2 linked regions of the Bombyx mori genome follow. The protein of the gene in region 1 purifies or fractionates together with the protein of each later gene. This does not show direct contact. Links are inferred from orthologs where the notes say so. Each region holds a gene or a part of one and is shown on either strand. Other genes may lie near its edges. The genes, in order: retinoblastoma-like protein 2 and transcription factor Dp-1.

Region 1 (3,835 bases):
CGTTAAAGAAATAATTTATTTAAGAAGTGAATTTGTATAGATCAAATTTTTTTTTTGTTCTAGGATTACCTACAGATTGGACTAAAAATGATTTCAAAATGCCAAAAACTCCTCCATGTGTAATTTCTACTTTATGTGAGATCAAGGATGGCTTATCGAAAGAGGCAACCACTATGAAAGAATATAGCTGGAAACCTGTTATTGATTCTTTTTTTGAAAAAGGGGTAAGATAAATATAAAATCACAAGTTTATTTTGTATACCACTGACTGACTTGGTGGTGTAGTAATTAGTACCCCTGACTGTTGCGCCAAGGGTTGTGGGTTCGATTCCCACATTGATAAAACATTATGTAATGAATAGGTTAACTTGCTCTCTGTTTGAGTGCTTACTATCTACAATATGTATATATTGAAATGTACATAAGTATGTTTGCCCGTCGCTGGTACCCATAACACAGGGAATCCTAAATTGGGGCCAAGTTACCATATGTGATTTGTTTTCAGTTATTTATTTATTAGTAATACAAGATCTAGGTGTACTTGTTTTGTGTATGGAGGTGCGTATATAGATTTATAACACTATTTGATTATATAATATGTAATTTGTATTTATAGATACTGAAAGGCAATAGTGAGCCTACGCTTGGAATTCTAGATTTGGGAGTGTTTGATGTAAATCTTAAATCACTGAACAACTTGTATGAAACATATGTTCTCAGTGTAGGAGAATTTGATGAAAGGATTTTTTTAGGTAAGTCACACTTGATAACAAATGAAAAAAATTGATGTCTTCAAAGTATAGAAATGTTTTTGAATTATTAATGGGTGTTTAATATATCAATGCTTGTCATCTAATATGTATTTTTTTCTATAGCTTAGGTGGGTGTACAGGCTTATGGCCCATCTGGTGTTAAGTCAGTACTGGAGTCCATAGACATCATAATGTTGCATTTAAGTAACAGACATTCAATATATATACCAACTACATTAAGCACACTTGAGCTTCACCTTTATTTTTGTAATTTCCTGGAATTATTGCAATTCTTTTTATTGTAGACTGATCATTTCAAACAACAAACCTGAAAAATGTTGACTCCTTTTAATTGACATTATGACACTGTCAAATTTAAAGAATTTTGTTTAATTAAGATGTCAACATATAATTTAAATCCCATACTAACATATTTTATTGATAATACTAATGAAGGTATGGAATATTAATATCAAAGATATGACTATATTGATTACAAACTTCATTAATGGTTTCTTATAGAAACAATTTTACCTTCAAGATTATAAATATTAGTTATTATGAAACTAGTAGTAGGTTTTATGAATGTGTTGTGTTTCAGTAAGAATGCACTGATTTGTAATAATGTAATTTAAATGTAAGCAATGCCAATTAAAAGCATTTCAGTTGTGCATGCTTAACTGTTTAACCTAACCTTATAAAGTTTAATTTATAAATTTAAATTTGAATATTATTTGCAGGCGAACAAGCAAATGAACAAATTGGAATGAAGAACAAAGTGTCCGGTGATGAGATCTCAGAAGTAATAGCTAATTTCGGTCCTGTAAGTTTATATTATGTTTACACTTGGAATTTTTCATAGTACTTTACTGCCTCCAACTAACAATAAATGAGATATATATTTAGGGTATCATTGACGGAATGCATAGGGAACGTTAAATACAGATATCTAAATATCCACTTCATGATTTTTTATATATTTACATTGTTAGATTCAAAGTTAAGTAGTTAAATATTCAATTATTTTAGTCTACTCTCACATTTGGAAGTACATACTATACTATACTATATACATACGCAGCTATACTATACTATACTATGCAATGCTGGATTAAATAAGTGATCTAAATATCGAATGCACAATGTTGAATTGAATCTTTATAAATTTGTTGTTAGCACTATATACCTGTAGTAATAACTATTAACATTCAAATAATGAGGTAGGATTTGGTTTAAAATATTAACAATACCACCAAATCTCGTTCGTTTCTGTATACTGATCAATGCTGTGTTTCAGCTACTAGGTTTTTTTTGAATGGCTTAGATGGGTGGACGAGCTCACAGCTCACCTGGTGTTAAGTGGTTACTGGAGTCCATAGACATCTACAACATAAATGCCGCTACCCACCTTGAGATGAGTTCTTAGGTCTCAGAATAGTTACAACGGTTGCCCCACTCTTCAAACCGAAACGCATTACTGCTTCAAGGCAGAAATAGGCGGGGTGCGGATTCACGCAATGTCTTTGCAAAGTAGTCTTGAATATAACGCACTCGTGTGGGATCCTCGCGAAGCTGTTCAAAAGCTAATGCTGGAAAAACTATATTCAAGAAAATTTATGGATACTATCCGTTCTTGTATTCATCACTTTATGTGACTGGTATGGTCGGGTTAGATACTCTTGGGCTGAGACGGAAAATGACTCTTATGGTGCATTACTATCAGTTATTGCATAACAAAATCAGCGATTTATTGTTGTTGTTAGAAATTACATAAGCTAATTATTAGTACCTTACAAATGTTTTGGTTTATACTGTTAATTTGTAAGTAGACTAAATAAATAAATAAAAAATTAATAAATAAAATTATGTACGCACGCAAGAAATTATACTTTATTTTTATTAAATTTGTCTTTTTTTTTTAAATATTAAATAATTAATAATAAATATTTAACGTTAATAATTTAATAATATTTAGTATGAATTATATTAAATAATAATTTTGTCATTTATATTACTAAAAAATGAATGCTAATAACACTTTTTTTTACGAGTGTAAATGCGCGAAAGTTTACCTGCGGCTATATTCAGACTCGCCAAGTTACGTCGGTCGTATTGTAATGAGCGATTTAGTGGGCAACTTCATTTCTGTTAATTTTTTGTCACGGTGCGCGCGCATTTTAAAATTTCACTCACATCAGTTTTTCATAACGCGCCTAAAGAAGTATAACTTCAATAAATAAATGTCCTACCACCAGTAAATCCAATGTAGTCGAATGTGTTACTTAATTAATACAATGAACCGTTGAGTAAAAGTAATGTTTGTGTACAGAGCGGTCGTGCGTGCCCGGACACGCCGCTGACGGGGCGGCGCTACCTGTCGCGCCGCAGCGAGGAGCTGACGCCCGTGTCGGAGGCCAAGAACAGCCTGGCGCGCCTCGCCGCCACGCTGCGACACGCGCGCCCCCAACCCTCGCCCACGCTGCTCAGGCTCTTCACGTGAGTACTGCGATTCAGCCACTCAACTGTCATAATCGCTTATCTTTCTCAAAGTAGGGCTTATAGTATATGTGCAATTACTTTCATATCAAAAGGTAACAACACCGTAGGACTTATGCAAATATCACAATACAAATACTACTCACCTACCAAATTCAGAAATATCCCATAATTAAGTTACATATTTTCTTGCTATATATAACGATATAACTAAATGGATGCTTACTTCACCAATTTATTTTCAATTAATCTATTATCTACGACTGCCTATATATATTGATGTATATGTCTATACTTTTATTGTTTCGTTTTAATTACTATAAATTGTGACAAACAGTAAGTATTTTATTGAATGGTTAGATTTAATCAAGAAGGCATTTAAAAAAGGTTTCTGCGCTAAAAAAACTATTCAAATTAATCCTATTTCAACAGGGAATGCGGCGTAACTGATGAAATGATAAATGCAAAACTAATAAAACCCTGCAATGGTTGGATGGAACAATTTGGGGCCAGCTTGAAGGAAGCACACAATACCCCGCATAGTGAGACAATTTCTATACGCTGTAATATGGTCACATGTTTATATT
Region 2 (4,554 bases), on another chromosome or scaffold:
AACTATCTGTTTGATTTTTAATGTTAAGCGTACCAACAACCAGTAAAACGTATGATTAAATTGTTGATGGATAGCAGACAACACAAAGCCAACATGGGAAATTTCAGTCTAAAAAAATTTAATTTTAACTGTTGATTTATTTATATTTAAAAAGAAAAGTATCTCTGTTTGATCAAATCGACATGTACTAATGTTTCTCAACCTCTAAAGTTCTTATAGTCTCATATTTATTACCTGCATTGGGCATTCAACCTAAGGGGCTAACGGTATCTCAATCTATTACAATAACAGTTTGAGCTATGGTTCGATAGCTGTTGGTTTTAGGAAAAACGAGTATGTGAGTTTGAGATAGTGTTTTTTAAGAAGTATCGAGTTGATGATGTTTATTTAATAATACATCCCCGCAGACTATTGAGATTCAACCTATAATCATATTTGTAGACATTAAATAGTCATGGCGCCGCAATTCCAAGGAGTATCCCTGCAATCTTCCGAGAGTATCGGGATACTTGGGGTCAACATTTCGAGCGATGTCCAGTTTCGGAGTCATTTGGAAGGCAAAGCCAAGTTGGCGTCCAAAATGCTGGGAGTCTTCAATAGAGCGAAGCGGTACTTCATGCCTGAACAAAGGCTTTTGCTTTATAAAGCACAAGTCCGGCCTCGCGTGAAGTACTGCTCCCATCTCTGGGCCGGGGCTCCAAAATACCAGCTTCTGCCATTTGACTCCATACAGAGGATGGCCGTTCGGATTGTCGATAATCCCATTCTCACGGATCGTTTGGAACCTCTGGGTCTACGGAGGGACTTCGGTTCCCTCTGTATTTTGTACCGTATATTCCATGAGGAGTGCTCTGAGGAATTGTTCGAGATGATACTATCTGGAGCCACTGCGGTCATCCACAGTGCGTTTCCAGAGGTCTTTTTTGCTACGCACTATCCGGCTATGGAATGAGCTTCCCTCCACGATGTTTCCCCGTGCGCTATGACATGTACGTCTTCAAACGAGGCTTGTGGAGAGTATTAAGCGGTAGGCAGCGGCTTGGCTCTGCCCCTGGCATTGCTGAAGTCCATCCACTCACCATCAGGTGGGCCGTATGCTCGTCTGCCAACAAGGGCCGGAAAAAAATTATTGTAATCTCATAAATGCTTTTTTATGGTAGCTTAGTTTTTATATATACACAAGGTTCTACAATAAATACTGGAAGAACGAGTAGTGATATTGTTTCATAATCGTAAAAATATCAGAAATGATACTATACCACTAAAAAAAAAGTAAGTGACCATAACATTGTAGAAAAATAACGTAACAACGTGAAGAAACTGAATCCGAACAGACTATTATGAACAAGAAAGACATGGGGCCATGCATGAAGTTTAATAATTAAATTAACCTCATGCATGGCGCACTTCGGAAAACATTTTTAAATTCTTGCGATGGCAAGGACATTAAATGCGTACATCTACACCTAAAAACAAAATGGCGATTGAGAATTGGCGCCTTTTTGTTTTTTTTTCACATCTAGCAACTATTGAATAGTACCACGTGAACTACCTCATCCAATCAGCTGGTAAATCCAAAAATCCCGCCTCTTGCATCGTTTCCTTCTCGTCCCGCGCTGCGTTGGTGATGGTGCTTGGATTCGCGCATTTAATATACTTTAATTAAATGTTAAAAGTTTATCAATGTTACATATATTAATAGAAACTTTAAACTGTAAAAGGTTCATTTATCGGTTCAAAAATTGGCTATAGTTTTGGTTCTAACCCATATTTTTGTCGCCATTTTGACCTGTGATTTTGGTCATACGAATTGAGTAGGTATTATTTAATTTGTTTCGTCATCAACAATTGTCCTACGTTGTTCTTATGAAACATAAATGGACGTCCAAATTCAAGGAGTGTGGAGAAAATGTCCCAAACTAATAGTACAATAAATTACCTTATCCATGATGCTAACGGTTAGTAGAGGTGCTACTTTAGTTTACGTGACACTTGTTTTTCCTATCGGATTTAAGACTTTGTATTGCAAACAAAGCCTAGATCAATTGGACCAAACTCAAGACTAGTAGCTTAGCTTTAGTTATTATCTTCGACGCCTTTTATTCTGCCGAAATAAACATCATCACAGCGTTTGTTTATTACGGAGATATTTTTTGTTTCAATCAGCTGATGGCACCGACGCTTCAGTAAGTCTTTAATTTAGATTATAAATACATAAAGACTCGATGATATGTCCTGCAGGACTTCCTCAAGTGGTGAAAGTGCTGGAAACTACAAGTAAACCACTGATTGCTCAAATCGAAGCAGAACCGAAAGAGAGTCCAGTTAAAATTGTTACTGTATCACCTGTTCCGGTCAAATGTGCAAAGGTATGATTATTCGCAATTTTTTTATATATGAAACCACTATATGTTTTACATATATTATTATAAACATTATTTATTTACGCTTCATTAGACTAAACTTTTAGTTAGAGTAGTAATGTATATGTTGAATAAACTTTTAATAAACAGAACGAACGAAATGACATGAAATATAATAATAATTACTTTCCTTTGTCACTGTGGTTAACCTAAGCTTTTGGGGTTCTAATATAATTTAGATTTAGTTGGGTGAACTGAGCCTACCTATGCCCTTATGCCCTACTGTAATTTGATTTGAATTTGAAAAATATTCTACAACTAATGAGGACTCCCTAGTTCTTGTATTTTTTTATTACTAGATAGGTGGATGAGCTCATGATCCACCTGGTCTAAAATGGTTACTGGAGCTTATGGACATCTACAATGTAATTGCCTCCATCCACCACGAGACTAGTTCTAAAGTCTCAGTACTTACATCTTACATAGGTCAATAGGTACCAAACCAGAATTAGCAATTTGATTATCATTTACCATTCAGTTTTATATGAGTATACTCTTTAACAGATACCTGTTCCAGCCAGTTTTGCAAGATTTGGAATTGTTCAATACAAACAAAGTAAGTTTTCAGCATGACAGGGTTTGTTGACAGAAAGTAGAAAGTAACCAAGAATCCTATTTAATATATAACTGTATATTTTATTGCTTAGATGGCTGGATGAGCTCATGGCTCACCCGGTGTTAAGTGGTTACCGGAGACATCAACAGTCAATGCCGCCGTCAACCTTGAGACACAAGTTCTAAAATGTCAGTTTTTACAGTATAATAACATATACTCCACCCTTCAAAGTGAAATGCATCTGCTTCACAGCAGAAATAGGCATGGTGTAATAGCAAATAATTTAGCTTCTTGCATACATTTGAGACTTCAACCTCATTTCTCAATGTAATCATACATGTAATTTAGTGCTTTGCGAATTGTTAGGTACATCTACATCCAAAAAAATTTAATAAAAATAAAGTGAGCAAGTAGTAATGAATGTCAAATATATACAAATTTAGGAAGTATTTTGTTACTAAAATTTTGCACACTATATTAATCTTAGTTCTGGGTGTTTTAGTATCACTGTTTACAAGTATCAATACTTCTGCTATGGAACATAATCTAATTTTTAATACATACATACACTATAAAAAGAACATCTTGATTGACTATCCAATATTAAAATAATCCACATGATGGTGGTAATTAATGTTAGATAAGCTGATTTATGAACAAACTTATATAATTTGAATTAGTCCATCAATTCACTTCATTATACATTTCAAAATTATGGTGAGAAATTATGCCTACAATATAAACATACATATAAATCAATAAGTATCACCCCTCTTAGAGATCTGAAGTTGTAATATCAATTGTTTTATATAAGGGCTGTCCGGCCCATCAAACCAGAACTCTCGACTGCTTTGTGGCAGAAATAGCCAAAATAGTGATATCTATTTACTCAAGTGGTCTTAAGATACTTCCCACTAACAGATATTACACAATGTCTTAAGACACAATAAGATCCAAATGATTAATGGAGGTTTTGAACCTTGTCATAGCCACATCACTTGATATAAATTCATCAGGTGTCTTACGATTCCGATTTCGCAGTGGAGATTTTCCTGTTGAGTCTGTAATTATTGTCACCACTGTCTAACCTTGTTCTTAAAGGCTGTTTTGCAATAGTCAAAGATCACGTTTACTAGTCTCTATACAGTAAAAGTTTATTATTCGCGGGGTTGAAGCATAATAAAAATATGCCGCGAATACAGTAACCGTGAATAGGGAAGGGTAATTTGCGTATATGGAGGTTATAGGGGACTCTTCGCCTCGAACTCGACTGAACGACGGGGGTGCCACACCACCGAACATCCCCCGGTGTGATAGTTCCCTGCCGGAGATCTACTTTGCACAGTGTGCAGTCAGGTGGGAACTCCGACTCCTGGACGTTCATAAGTCGAGTGGGCCAGACGGCAACCCTGCAGTGGTTCTAAAAACGTGCGCCCCTGAGCTGACGCCTGCGCTAACGCGTTTGTATCGCCTCTCTTATTGCACTAACAGGGTTCCGTCTTCATGGAAGACCGCCCACATCCACCCTATCCCCAAGAAGGGTGACCGGTCGGACCCATCGAGCTATAGACCTAT

What was found.
Region 2: the proteins of retinoblastoma-like protein 2 (region 1) and transcription factor Dp-1 purify together in Drosophila melanogaster (affinity purification with western blotting; 4 studies listed by BioGRID, with this or other methods). This does not show direct contact. The link is inferred for Bombyx mori from reciprocal best matches to the Drosophila melanogaster genes Rbf and Dp.

What each region holds. Positions count from the first base shown.
Region 1 is NC_085125.1:4,988,307-4,992,141, reverse strand, and holds part of retinoblastoma-like protein 2, read left to right. Parts: intron 1-63; coding exon 64-224; intron 225-616; coding exon 617-752; intron 753-1,492; coding exon 1,493-1,575; intron 1,576-3,081; coding exon 3,082-3,248; intron 3,249-3,680; coding exon 3,681-3,835.
Region 2 is NC_085110.1:8,925,222-8,929,775, forward strand, and holds the start of transcription factor Dp-1, read left to right. Parts: upstream 1-1,550; 5' UTR 1,551-1,909; coding exon 1,910-1,958; intron 1,959-2,241; coding exon 2,242-2,369; intron 2,370-2,927; coding exon 2,928-2,979; intron 2,980-4,554. UniProt on the Drosophila melanogaster protein: Component of the DREAM complex, a multiprotein complex that can both act as a transcription activator or repressor depending on the context. In follicle cells, the complex plays a central role in the site-specific DNA replication at the chorion loci.